Linked DNA regions of Struthio camelus. The protein of the gene in region 3 interacts with the protein of the main gene of each other region in a biochemical or structural test. Links are inferred from orthologs where the notes say so. Each region holds a gene or a part of one and is shown on either strand. Other genes may lie near its edges.

Region 1 (6,892 bases), on a different chromosome or scaffold from region 3:
TTAAATACTTTTTTTGTTTTTAAGTAGATTGGTAGAATTTTGCCAGTCTCAAACCATGGCTTAATTTAATATATTAAACTAGTGAAAAATAATGATGAAAATCTTGAAAAATGCTAGATGTTAAAAGTGCAGTTTTATAACTAGTTTTTTTTACAAACATGTAAATTCCTAAATGCACCAGTGTCTTTATATCCCTTAAAGTTTGATAATTATGGTTAAAGAAAAGTTGTCAATATACCTGACAACCCCTTTTCCCCTCAAAGGAAAAAAACTGGGAGCAGGGTGGGATGCGTGAGGGAAAACTAGCAGGTAAAGTTTGTAATCAACTCTGTTCTTGGGGGGGAGGGGGGGGAAAAAGAAGGGGTGGAAGGAAGGAGTTAGACAGTCTTAGGGACTATGAGCATTGTCCTGGTTAAAGCCCACTTAAGTGTTGACGAATGATCTAGGATTTGGAATAGGGGAATAGGTCATCTTAATGTGGCGTGTAATCCTGCAGAAATTGGATTTTGTTAGTCCTTGAACTCTTCCCATAAAGCTGAAGGGTTATTGGGGGTATTTAGACTATTTTTCCTTTTCCCCTCTGTTCAGCCACTGCTCTCCTTTCTTTGTGACTGTGCAGCTTTTTCCGAGTGCAGCTTTGCCTCAATTGCTGAGAAGTATGTCATGTTCAGCTCCTTGTTAGACTTTCCATAGCTAGGCCTACTCCTTTCCAGGGTCCGAACACTGGATAGGACAGTGTCCCATATCCTCTCACTGCTATCACTGTGTGTCTGCTCCTGTAGAAACAGGAGAGGTGGTCAGGTAGGCAAGTTGAACTGAATTTCTAAGAAAAATCAAACACAAACAAGATGTCAGTATTTGTAGGTGGGGAAGGAGCATGTGGAATATCTTACCTGGTATGTGAAACTGTTTGAGTCTTTTTATCTGCTATTCATGTAACAAACGCATCCTAAATTATATTGTGAATGTTAGGGAGTTCCAATTCCAGCTGAATAAATTTTTAAGTGTTGAGTCTACAATATTATACTGTTTCAAACACTTTTTTTGTGGAATGCAGGTGATCACTACAAGAGCATACCTCTGAGGGTGGAATCTGTGTAGCTTCATTACACTGTACCAAATATGCTGGAGTTTGGATGTCCATATAGAAAGCTTTTTTTGCCTTTGTTTAGAGTGAATTAAATGTCCTAAAATTACTCTTCTTGCACTGAATATAAACACTCCAGTGTTGTTTGGGCTAGGTCATAGGTATTGTGTGGGGAATAACTCCCGGGGGTGGGGGAGGAAAGTGTTCTGATTACCTTGCAGACTAACCAGTTACTAAAAGATTTGTTTTTTGGGTTTTTTTTTTTGTGAAACACCTTTTGCTGCCTGTCCTCATGTTGTATCCTTTACTTGTTGTGTTGGAAATACTAGACACCACAAATGCATAACAGGATTTCTTGCTCTTTCTGCAGTGTGCAAATAAACTATTGTAAGCAAGATACTGGAAGTAATTTCAGACTTCTGTTGGGAGCTATTGCATGTTTAGAATGCCTTTTGCCTGTTGAACACCTGGTAAATACTGCTCCTTTTTGCCAAAATAGCTTATACTCTGACATGGAAGATGTCATAGCTTAAGCATTGCTACTAGCTTGTTCTCAGGACTGTATTTTTATCAAGGAGCAGCTGCTATTTATGACTCTCAGTCCTTGGAGATGGAGTATATGTGAATGGTTTCAAGTCAGCTAACAATTCTGAGCACAACATAAATCTGTTAATCTAATCAGTGTTTTTTATCTTAATATGCAAATTGCCTTAAATTCCTGGACAGTTCTTGTGCGTACATGTTCCTTTCAAAGCATCAAAAATGAACTTAAGATCTGCTCTCAGCTTTTTGAGTAGTATTATAGTAAAGCTAACTATGTACACCTACGTTTGCTTGTGCTAGATTTTCTGAAAAGGTCTCCTGTCTGCATGTTATGCATTTTTTGATACCTTAGTGTATGCTTCTTGAGTAATCACTACAATAAATGAAGACTTTCCAAAGTGGATAGACAACTTAAAGGTTACTTTTTATCCTGCATTCTCACTTGGGTGGCTCAATTTAACATTAGAATCGCCTTTTTTTTTTTTTAATTCCTTGGAGCAAAAGTAGCTATCTCTTTATTCAGAATAAAGAATGCCTGTAAAGCATGGCAGCGTTTTCCAAGTACTGCAGCTCTGCTTGGTTGCTACCTGTGAGCTAGGTTTGAAACACCTTCAAGTATGCGAAGGTGTATTTGACTGTGTGGGGGGGTGCGCGTGTGTGTGTGAGGGCTGCAGCTGCTGGAGAGCATGAACTCCCAGAAGTTGAACTTGCTGTGTCTGGGGTGAGGGAGGGGTTTTAGGCTGAGATTAATCAAGAAGGAACAAACATCAAGTGTGCTTATGGGCAGTTAGATATCTGGAATACAGGATACTAGAAATGCTGAAGCCTTTTCTTTTTTTTTCTTTTTTTTTTGTCCTGGAACCTGGTGCTCAGTGAAGGGAGTTGGTGCCTACTAACCTGCTCTAGAAATATAACCAAATAGGAGCTGTCCTTGCAGCTCTGATAATGCTGAATTATCACAGCTCGAGAATGTGGGCTGTACAATGTGCTGAGACTGTCTGTGTCGGGTTGGGATCCTCGCAGGAGCCAAGTGCTCGTGGAGGGGTCTGGGGTTGTGGTTGTCCCTCGCTTTCTGTTCTCCTTCTGCCAAAGCAGCGCTCCCCTTACCTGGTGGTGGCACAGGCAGGGCTGTTGCCAGGAGTCTCCGCATCCTCAAGCCTTTCCTCGTTAATCTGTAGTTGCCAATATTGCCTCAAGGTTTCAAAAAAAAAAAAAAAAAAGCAATGAAAAAACCTTGGTGTTCGTAAACAAGGACTGTGACTTCTTCTGTGCAAAAGACCTGTCCATTTCAAAAAGGTCACTGTAGATGCAGTATGCATATATTAAAACCTGAATAAATTATAATGTAAAATTAATCAATAAAGAAACTGAAATCGCTTTGGCTGCCTCGTCTAATTAGCTTGAAGGGGCTTAAGTCTTGATCGCGTTTGTTGGTTTTTTTTGACGGGAACAAGTTGTGATTGGGACCCAGCTGTCCACAAGCCCTGAAGAAAAGGGGGGGAGGGAAAGAGAGAGAGGTTACAGCTGCCTGCTCGGGGCAGGGGCGCGGGGAGGGCGTCGCTGCCCCGCTCTGTCCGGGCGAGGGGGCGCCCGGCCGGGGGGGGGGGAGCGCCCGTCACTCACTCCTCAGGCCCCGCCCACGGCGCGCGCCATTGGCCTCTCTCCAAGCCCCGCCCCCGCCGCTTCCCGGCCCCTGCCTTTTAAACGCGCCGTCGGCCGCGTCCTGCCGGCCGCCTTGCCCGCCCACGCCTCCGCGCTCCCCCCCGCCCTCCCATTGGCTGGCGGCGATGTCCCTCAGCGCTCGTGACGCGCGACGCGAGCGTGACGTCGCCCGCCACCCAGGAAGCTCCGCCTATTTATTCTCAACTCGGCTCTTGAGGGGAAAAACAATTTCAAGATGGCGGCGGCGCGGATAACAATGGGGAGTCGGGGGTTCGGGCCGGCCCGCGCCTGAGAGCAGCGGCCGCCGGGCCCCGCCGCGCCCGGGGCAGCGGAGCGGGCCGCGGCCGGGCCGGAGGGCGAGCGGGCAACGGCCGCTGCGCAGCGCAGCGCCGGCGGAGGGGGAGCGGCGCCGCCGCACCGGCCTCGGGGGAGAAGGAGGAAGTGGGGCGGGGGGGACGCCGCGGGGAGCGGGCCGGCGTCGGGGCCGGGGCCGGGGCGGGGGCGCGGTGGGCGGGCGGGCGGGCGGGCGAGCCCAGGTAAGGCCGGCGGCGAAGGGGGCGGGCGGCGAGGCCGGGCAAGGCCCGAGGGGGGGAGCCCCGCGCCCGCCCTGCGCGGCGCCCCCGCCATGGCGGGGGGCGGCGTGAGGAGCCGGTGAGCGGCGGCAGCGGCGGCCTCCCCCCACACCACCCCCCCCCCCTTGCGCTCCGGTCCATGGTGCTGCCCCCTTGCCCCATGGCGGAGTTCGTGGTGCCGCGGCACAGCGCGGTGATGGAGCGGCTCCGCCGGCGCATCGAGCTCTGCCGGCGGCACCACAGCGCCTGCGAGTCCCGCTACCAGGCCGTATCGCCGGAGCGCCTGGAGCTGGAGCGCCAGCAAACCTTCGCCCTGCACCAGCGCTGCCTGCAGGCCAAGGCCAAGCGGGCCGGCAAGCACCGGCAGCCTCCCCCGCCGCCGCTGCCGCCGCCCGCGCCCCCTCCGCCGCCCGCCGCCGCCGGCAGCGCCGAGAGGAGCGGGGCCAACGGGCTGGACGCCGAGGCGGCGGGCGGCGAGCAGCACGGCCGCAGCAGCACGCTCATCGCGGTAAGCCGGGGCCGGGGGAGGCGGCGGGCGGGCGGGCCGGGGCCGGGGCCGGCCGGGCCGAGCGGCCGTGCCTGCGCGGGTGCCGCTTAGCAGCCGGCACGGGCTGCTTTATTTTCCCTCCTGTCATCTCTGCGCGCTGGAAGAGTGCGCAGAAAACGGTCTGATGAGGAGGAAGCGGGGGGGGGGGGGAAAGAACTTGCATGCCTCTTTTTGCCACTGTTAGGGCCGTTCCGAGCGGCTTTCTGTGCAGCCTGCTGAGTTGTGGTTCTGGCTATTTCACCGAAATTGTCTCTGGAGGAACTGTCAGGGGAACACTAGTACTGCGAGGCCTATGGGATTTTTGTTTGTTTTGTTTGTGCCTTAGTTTAGGCTGTGGGAGTTTAGCGGGATCGCTGCATGAGGACACTTTTTTTTTTTTTTTTTTACTGATACATATATTTTGGATAATGTCTCCACTAATTCTGCTGCATACTGGAAAGAATTTTAGTGGAATGGTATTGGAAGGGCAGCTGCTTATTTGCCGCTCCGTAGTGGGTGTGAACACTACGGGAATCCCACTCCACCCATTAAAAAACTGGCTTAACCCAAAGTCTTCATGTTTCTCTGGCTTCTCTAGCATTTCTAGTTGTCAGGATATATTCATACAGCTGTGTTTGTATATTAAGATAGCTATTGCCTATTGCTTAACTTACTCTGTGCCCTTTAAAGGTACTAGGCTATACTAATGTGTCGGTAATGTAGGTTAGTAGGATAACCTCACAGAGGTTGCCCGCTTTCTTTCACGAAAGCAGGTATTTCTGCATGGTGACCTGCCTGAAAATGATACAATGCTGCTGTTTTGAACGCCTTGAAAACGTGGTGCTGGCATTAATATGATACGTTTTCAAGTTAACATATACGTTAAATCATGTTTTTAAGATGGCCTATGTGTTTTGAGTTTTTGAGCATGATCAAATTGGAACAGAAGAAGGGAGGCTGTGATTCTCTACTGTCTTGGATCTCACTTGGCTGCAGACTTTAAAATAGTATCACAGTAGCACTTACTGTGTGCTTGTACTGTACATGATGTGGGGCACGCTGATGTCAGCTTTAACGTAACTAGCGCTAGACAAGCATGTGCGTGGTTTGTAATATATGCAATGTGAAATGAAAGTGTTTGGCCGAATTGCTTCTGTTGGTAACATACCTATGAGAATCTAGGACATGCAGGCTTTTCTGAAGACTGGAATCCTTGTGATATCGTTATAGCGCTCATACAATAGAGAAAGAAAAGTCTCGGAGGAAGAGCGTACAGTGATTCTGTAATGCTTTCTGGGTACCTGTTGTTTGGTAGGCCGATCTTGAGTGTAAATTGTGTCAGAACTCAGATGACTCAAACTCATGTTTTGTTACCCGAAGACTTGATGGAATTTCTGTTTGCTTCCTTTCTGGGCTCTGAGTTTTTTTTTGTGTATGGGGCTCTAACCATTAATAATGTGTATTTTTGTTATACACACACAGAGTTCTTTAAGCAACAGGATTTGACACGTTAAACTGCCACCATGCTGCTTCAAATTGATTGATTCTCTAAAAGAAAGATATCTCTGATTCATTGGTGGCATTTCTTCCAAATTGCTTTGGATGTGGATTTGATCTCATTAGCATCCATTATAATGAGGACTCTCAGCAGCAGTGTGGTTTTGAAATACAGTGCACATCTGGGGAAGCCCTTCTTGTGCAGGAAGCTGCTGCCAGTGGCCAATTTACACAACAGAAGAGGATTTTAGTGTATGAATGACTCTTCCTCGTGCTGGCCTGCTGTTTCCTTCCTAGGATACATGACTGTAAGCTTAATTGCAGTTGCTGATTCATCATCTCGTTACTAGGGTATAAAGTTGGTAATTCAAGTTTGGAAAAAAAAAAATAGCACAACGACAACAAACCTCTGCTGCTAATTTCATTCCTTTAGGATAAAGGGTTCCTCTCTAACCCAGAAGTTGATGTTTTACCACTAGCAATCATGTAACTGTTGTCAAGACTAAGCATGTGCTGCTGTGTGTAGGGGAAGGACGTGGATATGGTTTACAGTGTTCAGTAAACTTCTGGATTACCACCAAAATTATCTTGTTTTTAAAATATCCTGGGCACATTCCTTTCAAAAGAATGCTACTGGGACAATTAAACTTGCATTGTATCAATAGTCCTATTATAACAGCACTATTGCTGCTGTTATGATCAGGAGTTTTCCATAAAGCTCCATGTGAATCTTCTCTTAGAAACTAGTGCTCTGTATTGGACGCTAACGAAGCACTTATTTTGGTCTTTCAGAGAGAAAGCAGTTTGTGTAAATAAAGATATGTGAGCTGCCAAATGATCTAGCATCTGATGGCTTGCAGCGGAAGGACCTGAAGCTACACTTGCAGCAAGTGTCATACAGTGCCCAGTGTATGCACTCCCTGTTGCTCTACTTGGCAGCTTCAGACTAGCTGGGGGAACAGGATGAGCACCACCGCTTCCTTTATAGCATGTTATATGATTTTT
Region 2 (7,383 bases), on a different chromosome or scaffold from region 3:
CTGCCTAGGAACTACATGAGGTTCAATCTGGTACTCTTACGCCAGGGCATGGCCAGGCATAAGGTCACAGTATTTACCATCTCGGAGAAAATATCTAAGCTTGGGGGTGGGGAGGGAAGCACATGAAAACTAACAGGCATTTAAAGTTTTCCACAGAGCATTAGGTACATCTGATTAGGTATAGAAGAAACATAAATCGCACTCATTGTAACTTTTCTATATGCCACAATAACTTAGCTGCCTCACAGGAAGCATCATTTCTTTCTTAGCAAAGGAATTCCAGGGAAGTGGGGGACACCTTCCACAAAAAGCGTCAGCAAATTTATCAGGTGCTTTCACATCTGAAGATTTAAATTAACTTGCAAGACTTTGAACTATTGAGGTAAATAATCTCACCTAGGCTTCTCCCATGACACGTCAGAGTGAAACAAACGTGCTGTGACTTGTATGGCCCAAACAATAGTTTATTTATTTGCACCAAATATAATTTTTCAATTAAGAGAGAGGACTTACTGTCACACTCACCTGCCAATGTATTTGATCCAGATTTTCAGGCTAAGCCAAAAGGACTTGGTGACCCAGAAACTACTGAAACTTGAAGAGGTTACGGACTGGCTGCGGCAAAAGGCCAATCGAATCTGTTGGAGCAGGGAGGACCTTGACTCTGAATGCGAAGACATCCTGGAGAGGATCACTGCTGTTTTTCAGTCCACTCCTGGTAATTCTAATACAAAAGTTTTAGAGCTATTTCTCATCTGAACTACGCCAGTACAGAAGAAAACATCCCTTGGTTTTCTGAGCTCCCTCTGCAGCGAGAGGAGGCACTACTAGTCAGTCAGTAGCTCCCTAACAGGCACAGCAAAATTATGTAAGGTTCATGCATTCAGATTCATGAAAGCCAAATTCTGAAGTAGCATATGAAGGTCAAGGGAGAACTTATCTTCTGTGCAGAAAGCCTTCACCACCCTCCATCCCAGCTGCCTTTCCAAACCCCTAACCCTGACACAAGGAAAAACAAACTGTTAGAGAATGCCCTATTCTAATTCAGTCCAGCTAGCCCAAATTTCGGCATGGCTCCTAGGTGACCATCCGCAAATATGTCTTTAAGTAATGAGAGTACTTCCCACAGTAACACAGGCTGCTTTAAAACAGTGTAAGCACCCAGCTGATCTGCAGACTGCAAAAAAGTTCACTAGCTTCCTGAAGTTACCTAGGATGCAGTAATATGGTTGGCAAAAACAAATTAAGCACCCGTCTTCTCTAGTCACTTAACCGTGCACAGTTCAACAGAAGACACTTTTTTAATGAGAACAATGTTTGATTTGTCTACCCAGGTCAAAGCCCTTCTACCCTCAGATCAGAAACGGAGATCCAAAGCGCTGATTCACACTCAGCAGCAGACGTAAGGTAAGAGCAGGAGACAATACTTTATAAACAACTCTATGTTTATTTTGTTCAAGAATAGAGCTACACTTGCACCAGAGGCTTCTTAGTAGTCAGAATGCCCTTCTCAAACAGGAGTGTGGCTACAGAAATCTTGTCCTCCAAGGTTTCACATGGAAGGGTATCCACACTGACATGGTTTGGATAAGAAGACAGGAGAAATTCAATACTGTCTGTATACTCGGGATCTATCTCAAGGGACTTGCACTCTTCTTTATGATACACTCGTGAGTTTTCTGTCGTGTAATACAGCATCACACCAGCTTCCTCATTGCACAGTCTAATGATGCCATGCCGGAGGAGGCGTACTTCTGTGTCTTTCGTTATTAGTATATCGACGTCGCGGGTGCCTCCATCTTGCCACCGGGCTGGAAATCCATACACGCTCAGCGCCTTTTCATTTTGTGTTAGCACCGGGGGGAGACAGTCGTGAAGAAATGACTTGGCTCTCTGATCCACGGCAGCATCAATAGGCGCATAGTCGATAAGTTTCTTTATCAGACTCTGCACCTTCTCCACAAAAGCTGTTCGGCGAGCATCGACTACGTCCGAGTTGGCGACCCCCATGTATCCCAGGTAGTCCATGGGAAGCCCTTGCCGGTACTCCACGTCCTCCTCCAGGGCCATCTGCAGAGCAGCCGGGAGGAGCTTCTCCAGGAGGTCGCCCCAGGAGTTCCTCTGGTAGGACGACACCGTGATGTGGAGCGAGTGCGCATCAGGAAGACAGTCACCCTGGTGGATAAACCCCCGGGGGAAGTACAGCAGGTCCCCGGCCTCCAGCACCGCCTCCAGAACGGGCTCGCCGAGTTCAGCCTGTGTGAGGTTTGCGCTGGAGAACTGGGGCAGCACCTCGGCTCCCGTCCGGGGGCCGTAAACGCGCCAGTGCTTCTTCCCCTCCAGCTGCAGCACGAAGGCCTCGATGTCGTCGTAGTGGGGGGCAAAGCCCTGCGTGCCCGGCGGCGTGAGGTAGGTGTTGGCGCCCGCCATGCTCCCGAAGTGCTCCTGCAGGATGGAGAGGAACTGCCAGACGGTGGTGGAGAAGGCCTGGGGGCAGAGGAGCCGCAGGGAGCACCCGTTCTGGTAGAAATCCCAGACGACGGCGGGCAGGGCCCGGCCGGCGGGGTTGTGGGTCTCCCGCACGCCCTCGGCGTAGCTGGTCACGTCCAGGTGGGTGCCGAAGCGCACCTCGCCGCTCCGCAGCGCGGCGTCCAGCTCGGCCGTGGAGAACAGCCCCGCGTAGTAGCCGGGCTCGCCGCGCCGCACCAGCAGCGGCGCCCGCTCCCAGCGCCGCGCCACGAACTCCCGCGGCGACACCGGCGCCAGCAGCCACCGGAACAGCTCGGCCGCCCGCTGCCGGCTGTCCTCCAGCCGCCCCAGCCGCGCCAGCAGCCCCGCCACGCCGCCGCCGCCCTCCGCCGCCGCGGGGCCGGCCGGGGCTGGGCCCGGCCCCGGGCCCGGCGCGGGGCTCTCGGCCGGCGGGCCGCCCGGGCCCGGCGTGGGGCCGCCCGGGCCCGGCGTGGGGCCGCCCCGCCGCTTCCCCGCGGGGCTCTCGGCCGCCGCCTGGGCCCGCTGCAGGCGGCGGGCGGCGGCGGGGGGTGACGGCGCCTTGGCCGCCGCCTCCGCGCCTTGGCCGCCGCTTCCCGCCGCGCCGCGCCTTGGCCGCGCCTTGGCCCGCTTGCTGCGGGCGGGCAGCGGCCGCCCGCCGCGCCGCTCCAGCCGCCCGGCCCCCGCCGCCCGCCGGTACACCGAGAGCGCCGACACCCGGCGCCGCTCCTCCGCGCCGCCCGCCGCCATGGCCGCGCCGCTCCGCCCCCGCCGCCGCCGCTTCCGCCGGGGCTGCCGGCCACGCGGGGGCTGCCCGGCCGTGCGTGGGCCCGGCGAGGGTACGTCCGTGCCTAAGGCACAAAGCAGAGACTAAAAGTGGTTTTTTTTTTTGTTTTGTCCTGCCTTCTTGGCCCACAGACAGCGTTTGGGTATAAAGGAACCACCTGATCTCCCCAGGGCGTCTGGCCGGACAAAAACTTTCCCCGCCCCCCTTTTCTTTTCCCGCGCGCGGAATTTCACGTGCCCGCAGCGCTGGGGGCGCGCCCCGCCCCACGCCGGGCCGCCCAGGCGGGGGGCTCCCGGGGAGGTGAGCGCCTCGGCCTTTATGGGGACAGCTGCCTGCCTGCCCGAGGAAGGACTTCACCGGGAAGTGTGCTTGTGCTGCTTTATAAAATTTAATATCTTACATTTTCTCATAACATCTGCTTAAAACGTGAAGCTTATTTGTGCCCCCACTAAGAAGGGAAAGGTAAGGCAAGTGCCGGAGGAACCTGACTCGCGTGGGCGTGTGTTCCCTGGCTGCAATGCTGCTTTCCATAGATGCGCTATAAGCATCTCTAGAAAAGATTTTCCAAAAGGTGTATCATAAAGATATTGTTTTGGACGATATGCAATTACTTTACACTCTAATAGGGTCAGATGAGGTCAGACTACTTCATAAGGCTCTGCTACACAAGGAACAGAAATCAAAGTTGGATGGGGTCTAATTCTGGTTTGTCTTCCCTCCTCCTCCCCCTTTCTTGTGTTTGTAATGCAGATGCCAGGTGAAAGGCTACATCCTCTTGAAGGATCTGCAGAACCAAAACGCTGTCAGGTCATACCGTGGTTTTTTGCCAAATCCTTTAACTGCGTAATACTCTGCACACACCTTTGTCTGTGCTCTCCCCATCTCTCTCCTAGACCTGAAGCTTCCCGGCGCAGCGCTGTCGGCGGCCTTGGAGGTGCTCTGGCAGCCGGAGGGCTCTCGGCCGGCCGTTTCAGACGCTGCAGGTTCGGCAAAGGAGGCTACCGCAGCGCAGAGGGCAGGTGACGTAACCAGCGAGATTCAACTCGTGGAAAACGTGGAGAGCTGTAAGGATTGTCGTTGTCGTGCTAGGCTGACGTTCTTCTGCTCAAGAACAAGGTGCCATACTTTTGTGAGGAAAAATCTTTGATGGAGTCAGATAATTTATGAGAACAGATTTTGCGTAAGAATTTTGGCTCCTCCTGTTAGCCTAAAGCATTTAACTGGAGCAATTTAGCCAAGTGTGCTCAGCAGCATTCTGGCTTACAAGGGTGTTATCAGCATCTCACAGAGGAACGTATCAGCGTCACACCATATGTTAAATAAGCAGCTAACGTTCACAAGGCATGCTCAGGTCTGCTGTGTGCGCCACTTAGCATAACAGGCCCAGGACACACAGCCAAAGAGTGAATTTTGACCTTTTTTAACTTCAGCATTGTCAGGATTTCAACTCAGGTCTGTATTTAATTTTTCACAGAGTTCAAGAGCATTCATAGCAGAAATCATTAGTTAGGCCATAAATAAGGATGAGTTCAGCTCTTAAGTCTAATTCTGGAACAGATTCAGACATCTTAATGGTTTAAGATTTTTTGGTTTGTCTAAAAAAACCCCAAATCAGCCTCTCGTTTAAACAGTGTTGACGGGGTGCACTTGCCAGCAGGGGTGCACTGGCACTTTTATTTGCAGCTCCTGGTTTGTGTCCACACTTAAGATGATGAGCCCTAGTTTGGAGGTCGTTGTTCCTCGGGGGGGGGGGGGGGGGGGGGGAGAGCACTGTCCCGCATGTGCTACAAACGTACAATGGGAAAATGTCTGCAAGTTGTGCTTTACATTGGTATGTGAAGAAGTAAAACGTTAGGAGTTTCAGCTTCTGTTTTGATACAACAGGCCCAATTCTGTCTCAGCAAAGCCAGGTGATGTAAACTAGGACTTCCTGTCCCATTGAAAATAAACTCTGATACATCTCCATTGGTTGAAACGCACATCTCGGCCAACACTTGTGTACATGATACAGATTGCGTAACTGTAACGTGTCTGTGGCTAGTCCCAAACCATGTTACTTGGCCATGATACTGCTGCTTGCTCAATCCTGCCTTTTCAGAATGCTGCTATACTTTTAATCTTAAGTGATTTCAGATGTGCACCCAAATTTATTTGGAAATATCATAGATATCTTAAAGGAATCTAAATCATCTATGAGAAGTAAAAAGATACATACCAGCTGGTGAGAATTCAGTGGAAGCCAGGTTCCTCTAATAAACCATTATAAAGCTGGTTTTGAAAAAACATAGATTTGGGAGGTGAGAAAGCTTTTCTTTGCTTCCGCATCTCATCAGCGTGTTAGAAGTGGCCGAGACAGATGTTGTATGAATGCAATGCAACTATTTTCATTTCGGGTGTGTTTTTTCTCTGTACTTTTTCTGCTGGTGCAGCCTTTAGAACAAAAGCTGTTACACCTGTGTGGGAAGAGCAACAACAGCAGAAAGCTGTTCTGTTGAACTGCAGTGGTTTAGGTGAAAGAGTCCAATTTGTGTGCATAGACGGTATTTTGGCCTTGGGTTTCTTGAACGTGTCACGCTTCGCCAGTAGGGGGCAGATACAGAACAGTGGTTGAATGAAAACAGCACATTTACTGGTACTTGGTATTGTGCTAGGAAAGACTTCCTAAAAATATCAGAACGTGAATATAGACTTTGCTTAGCAAGATTACTGGTTTGGATGGCTTAAAATGTGAGGAAAGCGAAAGCTGTCTGTGTGTGCATGTGTATGCCCGAAGAGAAGGAAGGGTGAACTCCGTATTTCAAATCATTCTTTGTTTTCCAAGGTTAAGCCCTGCGTACCGGAATAATCTTATCACTTGAAACTGTTTCAGCAGAACTGGGCCCTTAACAAAACCAAGATGCAAACTCTTTGAAATATGGTAGAAGCTAGACTATTGTGTGCTGTAATTATATGTAAGCCTGGCTAAATAGGCTTTGGCGGGGGAATGACATTTGAAAAATCTGGCCTTCTGAGTTACTGCTTAATTTACTCTAGTGCAATTGATTCTTCTCTGGCACTGAACACTTTATGTAAAGTCTGATCTGAGTTACACCAGAATAACTTTAATGATTACAGCAAAGTTGCTCTGGATGTTTACCAGTACAGTGAGCTCAAAGTCTCATTGTAGGGCTCTGATCTTAACATGAATGCCACTTTCTACCACTGCAAGATGATAGACATTGGATTTGTTGATATATAACAAAGTCTGAAAGTGAAGGACATGGTGAAAAATAATGGTGGTGAAATCTCTCTAATAATAACATGTTTCTTGTGACAGTTTAGCCTTTCTCATATTAAAGGCTTTCAAGAATAAAGAAGAATTTTTGCTTTTTTTTTCTGTGCAGCACATGAAAGGATTTTGACCTAAGGCAGAAAGAGAGAGCTTCAATATCACTTTCAGAGTACTTAGATGGTTGTCTGGGAGTAGCCAAAAGCTCTACATGCTATTTTCATTCACTGCCCAATATTTCAAGGAAATTTCTCATAAGGGAAGAACAGTGTCACAAAGAACTCTTTAAATAAACAAAAGGAAAGTAGCACAGATCTCTTAATGATTAGGTGGTCCCCAGCTGCTGCTCACATAGACATAGTAGCAACTCGAGGCTCAATTAAACTTCTTAATTAGAATTTAGCACAAAATTACTCAGATTTTATGAGCGCATAAGCTTCATTGCCAAGAGCTACACACATTTTATTGAAGAGGACACAAAAAAGGTAGTGAGTACAACTTACTAAGGAGCCGCAAATGACTTCTGAAGAAAGATGTAAACAGCACCTCCAAGAGATGTAGTGTTTATTTGATAGTTTGACCTTATTCCATTAACTGCTCAAAGAATTGAAGTCCTGAGTTTAAAGAGCAGTTCAGACAAGGCCTGATCCTGCAAAGGTATTAGCAGTCTTCACCAACCAGTGGAAAGAATAAAATTCTTTGCAGGATTGAGCCTGTGTCACATTTTTCACTTCTCTGTGCATTGGATACGCAATTGTTCTGCATAATGCAAATTGTCCAGCACATTCTCTTTGTTCCTGGCAAACCATTAATGTAAATCAGTCACTTTTTGAAAGTTAAG
Region 3 (7,221 bases):
TGGTAAGGGCTTCTGTGCAAAAAAAAGTGGCGTGCATTCATTAGTAGCTCACAAAGGGACCCAGCCTTTGTCCATTAAATTGCTCATGTGCCTGATTGATTTGCTGATTTATTTTCACCAAAGGGTTGGGGGGCTCAGCTTGGAGGAAAGGGGTGGGAGGTGCCCAGCTACTGGGTAGAGTAACGGCGCCCAGGCAGATTTGCAAAAAGCAACACACATTGTCAAGGAAAACTGCCATTCAACAGGTTGGGATTGGAAATGCCTTCAGGTTTCTCCCCAGAGAGAACTTCCTATTTGGAAGTTTGGGGTGGGTGGGAACGTTTCCCTGCCTGCTCTCAGCTTAGGGCACGTTTAACAGGCGGAGGGGAAATCTGGCCGGAAAACAGAGTCTTGCCCATTCAGATCTCTTTTATGGAATAGTTTTAAAAAGGGAGCTGGAGTCTTATTCATTTCTCTCGGTTATTGTTCCCTGGGAGCCTGGAGTGAATCGGCCATCGCTGCGGTGGGTCGGATGGTCCTTCAAAGAGTCCCAACATTTTACACATCCGTTTCCCCACAATCAGCTTGGAGAAAGCTCCTTCATGTGTGCCAGATCCTGCAAGAAGGGCTCGATCCTCAGCTTGGCACCAGCTTCAGCAGAGTTACAGGGAGAAGGTGGCCCTGCTTTCCTGCCTTTCCGATGGCCCACCCAGAGCACAGCCCCAGGCTGCGCCGTGCAAGAAATGACCCCTGAAACGTGTATGGAGATGTCCCGAGAACTGTGCAATGGACTAAGAAATGCTGGGGTGCAAGGGACCAAAAGGCAGCACTTCGAGGTAGAAGGGAGCTGGGCCCGGAGTAACTCGGAGACAGACCACCTCCTTCCCCTTCCCGCCGTCCAACGAGCACCGCAGGCCGGGGCCTCGCTTCTGCTCCATCAGCATCAGCAGGGCAGTCTGGATAAGTAACACCAGCAAAACGTGGCCCTTTGCCCATGTTTTTCCACCCAGCCAGGAACAAAGCCCAATCCTGCCCAACTTGTGGCGACTCCTACACAAGCAGGTTATTCTTGCCACTCAAGGAATGAAAATGCATCTTGCCCTATTAAATCCAGAGCCTTCAAAGCAAAGTCAACATGCACGTCAATACTTCGGTCTAGGGAGATGAAAACCCTCTGGCTCCTCCATACTTACTGGCACACCTCAGTCCCGTTGAGGAAAGTTTCACACTTGCCCCCGTTGAGGCAGGATTCGGCAAGCTGCGTACACCGTAAACCTGCAAAGAGGAGGAGAGCGTTAGCCACAGGGCAGGCACCGGGCAGCACGAGGGGGAGGCTGCTGGGCCCCCTCGCGTCGGGGCTGCCGGGCGCCCCTCGCTCCGCCAGGGCAGGGCGAGCCCGGGAGCGAAGGTGACCTGCCGCCGCCAGCAGCACCCGCCGAAGCCTGGTGGCCACCGTGGTGAAAAGCAGGACCCGGCGGCTGCTCTCCAGGCAGAGCAGGGCTGCAGAGGCAGGCAGCAACCGCGCGGCCCCAGCTCCCAGCAGGGAAAGGCTCGCCTAAAAATAAACTCGTGGTGGGTTTTGAGACTAGGACTCTGCCTTCTCGGTACCCTCCCCAGGGGCCAACAGGAGGACTGACAGAGAAGAAAAAAAACAGGTCAGGCCCTTGAGTGACAAATGCCATTTGGGAAAAAACCATACACCCGAGGGCCCGTGAGTTATCACTAACTCGGTAACGAAATGAGTCGCTCGTCACAACTTACTGTGAGTAAAGGTTTCAATGTCTGGCCCTCAGAGCCAAATTCTGCACAGTTACCACAGCAACTCACTGAAAGTACCAGAATCGCTTCCGATTTCTACCAAAGCTCGCTCTTCCCCTTCTCTTCCTCCGCGAGCATTTCACGGCAACCGGTTCTGTGACACTGCTGCGCAGCCGGAGCACTTTCAGACCGCAGCAATTTCAGCTTCGCACCCCGCCAGCCAAGACCCAAACTTCTCCCCGAAGGGCTGCCGAGCCCCACGCGTCTCCGGCGCGGGGTCCAGCCCGGGTCCCCTCGCGGGGTCTCGCCGGGGGCTGCTCCGACCCCGCACCTTTCCCTGCGGACTGCGCCTCTGCGGGGCCGGGGCCCCCGTCCGGGCCGCCCCGGTGCGGAGCCGGGCGACACCGGCCCCGCTGCTCCCCCTCCCCGGGAGGCTCCCGCAACACCCGGCTCCGGCCGAAGCCCCTCGCCCGGGACCCGGGGACACGGCAGGGCCCCGGGGCTCTCGCCATTTGTAGGGTCCTTGTCCCCGGGCCCGGCGAGCCGTCCCCCAAGGTCCCCCCGCAGTTTGCGGCGAGGCACTCGGAGCCGCCCCGGGTGCTGGGGGCGGCGAAGGGGACCGGCGAGGCAGCCAGGTGACTTTCAAGAAACAGGAAACCGAGCAAAAAAAATTTGCAAAACGGCCGAAAGCTCTCGCGGAACAACAGCGGGGAGCGCTGCTCGGCGCCCCGCGCACCCCCCCGCCCGCCGCGCACCTCCGCCGGGGCGCCCAGCCCGGGTCCCCCCCCCGCCCGGTGCCGCTCCAGCTCCGCTCCCCGCGGGACAACCGAGCGCGGAGCCCCGTCGCGGCGCGTCCGGCCGCGGCTCCCCGCGGGGCGGCAGCCGCTCTCCCGCCGCCGCCGCTCCTCCTCCTCCTCCTCCTCCCGCGCTCGCTGCAAACTTCCTCCCGGCGGAGCCCCGAGCCGCCCCGCGCCGCCGAGCCCCGCCGTGCCGAGCCCGCTCCGGTGGGCGGCAGCGGGGCCCGGCGCGTCCCGGCGGCCCCTCACCTCGCGTCAGGGCGGGCAGCAGCGCCAGCAGGAGACCGGGCACCAGGAGCCGCTGCATCCCTGCTCTCGGGGCTCCTGCCCGCTCACAGCCGCATAGATCCGCGGGGCACCGGCCGGCCGTGCCGAGCCGGGCCGTGCCGAGCCGTGCCCGGTGCGCGCCGCCCCGCCGGGAGCCCCAGACACACCGCGCCCCAGCGCCCAGAGCGCAGCGACTCCAGCGCCCGGCGCCTCCCGCGGCTGCTCTGCCCCGGCGGGCCGGGCCGGGCCGGGCGAGGGAGGGCGGGACGGCGCGGGGCGGGACGGCTCGGCACGGCACGGGACGGCCCGGCCCCGCCCGCGCCCGCCTGGCGGGGAGGGGGGGGGGGGAGTCCTCCCGGGGCAGCCCCCCCCCCCCAATGCAGCCCCCGCACAGCCGCGGGGCGCCCCCAGTGCAGCCCTGCACACCCCCAGTGCAGCCCACCCATGCAGCCCCCCCCCGCAGCCCTTGCACAGCGCCAGTGCAGCTCCCCCCCCCGTCCCCAGCCCCAGTGCAGCCCCCCCATGCAGCCCCTGCACAACACCAGTGCAGCCCCCCCGCCCCGTCCCCAGCCCCAGCGCAGCCCACTCATGCAGCTCCCGTGGAGTCCTCGTGCAGCCCTAGTGCAGCCCCCTAACAGCCCCTACACGCCTCCAGTGCAGCCCCCCACGCACGCCTTGCACAGTCCCAGCGCAGCCCTAGGACACCCCCAGTAGACCTGCCCACCAGCCCCATATAACCCCAGTGCCGCCCGCCCGCACCCCTCGCACAGTCCCGGGGCAGCCCCACGGCAGTCCCTGCACAGGCCCTTGCTCAAGGCTGGTACAGGCCCTGCAGAGCCCCACACATCCTCCCCCAGTTCAGCCCCTCAGCCCACAGCAGCCTGGCACCAGCCGTGGGGCACAGACCCGGCGGGCTGCAGCGCCTGCTCCGTGCGCCGTGCACATGGGGCTGGGGGGGCTCCGCACCCCTGCTTGCTCTGGGGGACCAGGACGGGGCTGAGCATCTCCTCCCGGGGCCCTGGGCCAGGGCGAGCCGGGCACCCCGCAGTGCGGGGTCGGGCTCTCCCAGTGCCCGGGGTGCCCCCTCCGCCCCGGCATCGTGGCTTTCGCCGAGGCAGGTGTTCACAGATACGCCAAGCCACTTCCTAGCAGCCATTAACATACCTGCACGCACGGTTACGCGCACAGCTTGGGGATGATGTTGTTTATTTTGCGCCGTGAACTAATGAACTTGCAGGCAAAGCCTTGGCCAGCCCGACGCGCTGCATCAACAAATAAACAAACAGATGAGCAGAGGCAGGGAAGCCAAACCTCGGAGGCAGCCCCAGCAACCCCCAGGCGCGCGCAGGCTTCCTGCGCGGCCAGCGCCGCGTGCTGGCCCCCGCGGCCTCTCCCCGGCCTCCCCAGACCCCTGCCCGATGGTGGCGGTGCTGGCGGCGGGTCCCCGGGACCTGGTCCCCCGCCGGGCGCCGCGCGCGGGAACGGCACGAGGCGAACGCCCCCGCTGCGGGCGTGCTGGCGGGGCCCGGTTCGTCCCGAGCACCCCAGCGCGGCCCGAGCCGTTCCCGCTCCATCACGGCACTTAACAAATTGAAACCATATTGCCGTTAACTTTAGCAACCCGAGCGCAGACTTAAGCGTTTAAACTCCTGTTTGCATATGTTACCCGAGGGCTACGCTTATAGGGGGGTTTCCTTGCTGGCGGGGCGTTGTACCAGCCGTGGAGCAACACCGGCGGAAACAGCCGGTGTGGGGGTGCTAATGACAACTGCTTCCTCGCGGGGTTACCGCGGGGTCAGCTCGCCGGCTCGCGGCGAGCCTTGCCGGGAGGCCGTTGCCCCGCTGAGCGCCGCAGTGGCCTGTTGGCAATGCCGGGAAAGCTGCCGCGCAGCAGGCGCAAGGGCGGAAAACCCAGGGGCGAGAGCTTGGAGCACAGACAATTTGGGGTGCTAACTCCCACGGGCAACACGGCACCTAAATGCCATGGGGCTCCTGGCTCTCCTTGGACCCTCATCACAGCGGGGGACCCTGGGAAAGGCCATCAGCAGCGCCGTGCGGGAGCCGCCGCCGCCGCCGCCTCCCTCCCCAGGCGAGACGCTGGCAGCTTGCCGCAGGCCCCCAGGTGCGGCAGCGCCCTGGGACCCTGCTGATTAAGCCGTGGCTATTCTGGGCCGTCAAATGGCTCTTTTACAGCTCCCGGTTATACCGTCAAACGCGGGCCGGGGCGGGGGGGCGCGGGGCCAGCTGGCCTGCGTTTGGTGCAAAGCATGGGAAAAAGAAAGAGAAGAGACGGGGCCCGCAAAGGGTTAATGAGAGGGAGGTGACACCGTCATCTGTGTCTCTCATCACAGGGCACCTCTCCCCGCGGCCCGGGGGCTCATCCCGGCCCCTGTCCCGGCCCATGCCAGGCCTGGTGTTATCCCGCTGCTTCCTGTTGTAAATTATTTCCAGAGCAAGTGTGAAACAATTAAACAAACCGAAGGGCAGAGTCTGTTCGCTAGATCAAAGGAACGAGCCCTACAGCGCTATTGCTCTGCCGCCGCGCTTTGCCCTCGCTCTCCTCGCCGCTCGCGCCGGCGCCCGAACGCGGGCCGGGGGCCGGGGCTCCGCGCGGTGCCGCTCCACGCTGGCCGTCCGAGCCGCGCTACGAAACTCGTAAGCGGCGCGGAGACACGCTGCTTGCTGTGCTGCCTCCCTGCAAAGCCGGGGCAAGGGCCGGGCCGTCAGCCGGCCCCACGGAGCCTTTGGAGAGCAAGTAACAGAGGCAACAGGAGCCAAGGGTTTGGCCTCGGCGCCCCTCTAGGCTGGGGGCCGGGGCGTCTCCGCCGGGGCGCAGCCACGAAGCCGGTGCCGGCGGCCGGGCGCTGCCCCGCTCTGCTCGGCCGGCGACGTGCCCGCGTCGCCCTCGCTCTGCAGCGCCGCCGGCTCGGGGCTGCCGCCTCCTGCAGCCCCCGCCGCAGGAGGAAAAACCTGACGCTCCCACCGCTCTGGTTTATTGGGCGATAAAAGATTTCTGCTCCCTTCCCCTCCGTCTTCACCCCTTTCCTTTTGCACGCTGCAGCCCAGCTAGCAGGGAGCATCTCTGCTCTACCCGCCTGGAAATGCCTGCGCTGCCTTTGCCCGGGCTTGTTCCCCGCGCGCAGAAAGCACCGCGCGCTCGGCCTAGCCGCGCTCGGGCGCTTCTTCCCCCGGCTCGAGCGCTGCCCAGGCCCGGCGGGGCCGGCTGTGCCCGCTGCCTGCCCGCCGACGGAGCGGGCCCGAAGCGCGGCGGGATGCTCCGCGCCGTATCGGTGCCCGCGGAGGCAGCGGGAGCCTCGGCCATGGTGCCCTTCCGGGGGAAAAAAAAACCCCTCTCTGGTCTCTCCAGGTGCTGCGGGGGGGCACGAGCGTCTCGGCACGAGGATGACGCCTCCCGCGAGCCGGCGCCGCCGCGGGAGCCCTTTTCCAAGGGGCCTATCTGCCGGTGGGCGCGTCTTCGCGGGGACCCTTCCTTCTTCCACACCCGCCCCGCACATGCTGCTGCCGCCAGCTCAAAGGCAAAAGAAAAAAAAGGAGCGGGAAGCAAAAGGCAGCGGACAGCATAAATCTTTTTTCAATAAGCGGTAAATAGGACATAACTCCAGAGAAACTTTTCATTTTGAGTGGTCTTTGGGGGTTAAAAATCATGGGATTTTAGGTACTTTTAAAAATAGCGTTCGTAAGAACGCTTCTAATAGAAACCTTGGCACACGTCCATGTGATTAGTGATTTAAAAACATAAAACCTCCACACATGTTTAAAAGTTTTAATAAGTTGAAATTAAATGAGTGAAACTCTGGGAATATTTTTTTGTTACTGCAAGCTAAGAAAATTATGTCCGTTAAGCAAAACTTAGTACAAATATAAACAGGTAATGCACATCTGTAAATTATTTTCATGTCTCCAGGGGCTGGAAAAAAACCTAAGTGAGACCAGCATTCTTATATATATTTTGCCTTGACAGCTCAGGAAAAAATTTGCCAAAAACCAGAGTTAGAGCACTGGGCTGGCGTGGGAAAGTTGGTTTAGTGAGAAATTTGCCCCAGGCTATTTAAATAAAAACAGGCGTTTTTTTTTAATGGCAAATGCCTGTTAAAGGCAAGCCGCGCAGCTTCCAATCGCCTGAGTAACGCGCGTTGCCCACTTCTTCGTGACACTTTCATCCCTTGATCGTCGCAATCAATGTTTTGCTCTTCTGCATTCGGGGCAATACGAGTAAGGCAGGCGTCGCAGCGGGTGCCCCGGCGAGGAGCTCAGCTCGCCGCTCCTCTGCCTGCCCGTTTTGGAACCGCGAGCAGCGCTGAGGTTTCGCCCTCTTCCTGATGATGCACGCTCGCACAAACACACGCGCACACACAAAAAAAGCACGTTCAGTAATTAAACATGAATCAAAGTGGGTAGC

What was found.
Region 1: the proteins of NOTCH1 (region 3) and MAML1 form a complex in vitro, tested with the Homo sapiens proteins (2 studies listed by BioGRID). The link is inferred for Struthio camelus from reciprocal best matches to the Homo sapiens genes NOTCH1 and MAML1.
Region 2: the proteins of NOTCH1 (region 3) and NUMB form a complex in vitro, tested with the Homo sapiens proteins (2 studies listed by BioGRID). The link is inferred for Struthio camelus from reciprocal best matches to the Homo sapiens genes NOTCH1 and NUMB.

What each region holds. Positions count from the first base shown.
Region 1 is NC_090954.1:6,930,327-6,937,218, forward strand, and holds the start of MAML1 (mastermind-like protein 1), read left to right. Parts: upstream 1-3,878; 5' UTR 3,879-4,003; coding exon 4,004-4,372; intron 4,373-6,892. UniProt on the Homo sapiens protein: Acts as a transcriptional coactivator for NOTCH proteins. Has been shown to amplify NOTCH-induced transcription of HES1. Enhances phosphorylation and proteolytic turnover of the NOTCH intracellular domain in the nucleus through interaction with CDK8.
Region 2 is NC_090946.1:43,243,238-43,250,620, forward strand, and holds the start of NUMB (protein numb homolog), read left to right. Parts: upstream 1-4,369; 5' UTR 4,370-4,390; intron 4,391-7,383. Other genes in the region: RIOX1 (ribosomal oxygenase 1), read right to left, coding at 1,468-3,237. UniProt on the Homo sapiens protein: Regulates clathrin-mediated receptor endocytosis. Plays a role in the process of neurogenesis.
Region 3 is NC_090961.1:3,758,949-3,766,169, forward strand, and holds the start of NOTCH1 (neurogenic locus notch homolog protein 1), read right to left. Parts: upstream 3,023-7,221; 5' UTR 2,842-3,022; coding exon 2,784-2,841; intron 1,255-2,783; coding exon 1,173-1,254; intron 1-1,172. UniProt on the Homo sapiens protein: Functions as a receptor for membrane-bound ligands Jagged-1 (JAG1), Jagged-2 (JAG2) and Delta-1 (DLL1) to regulate cell-fate determination.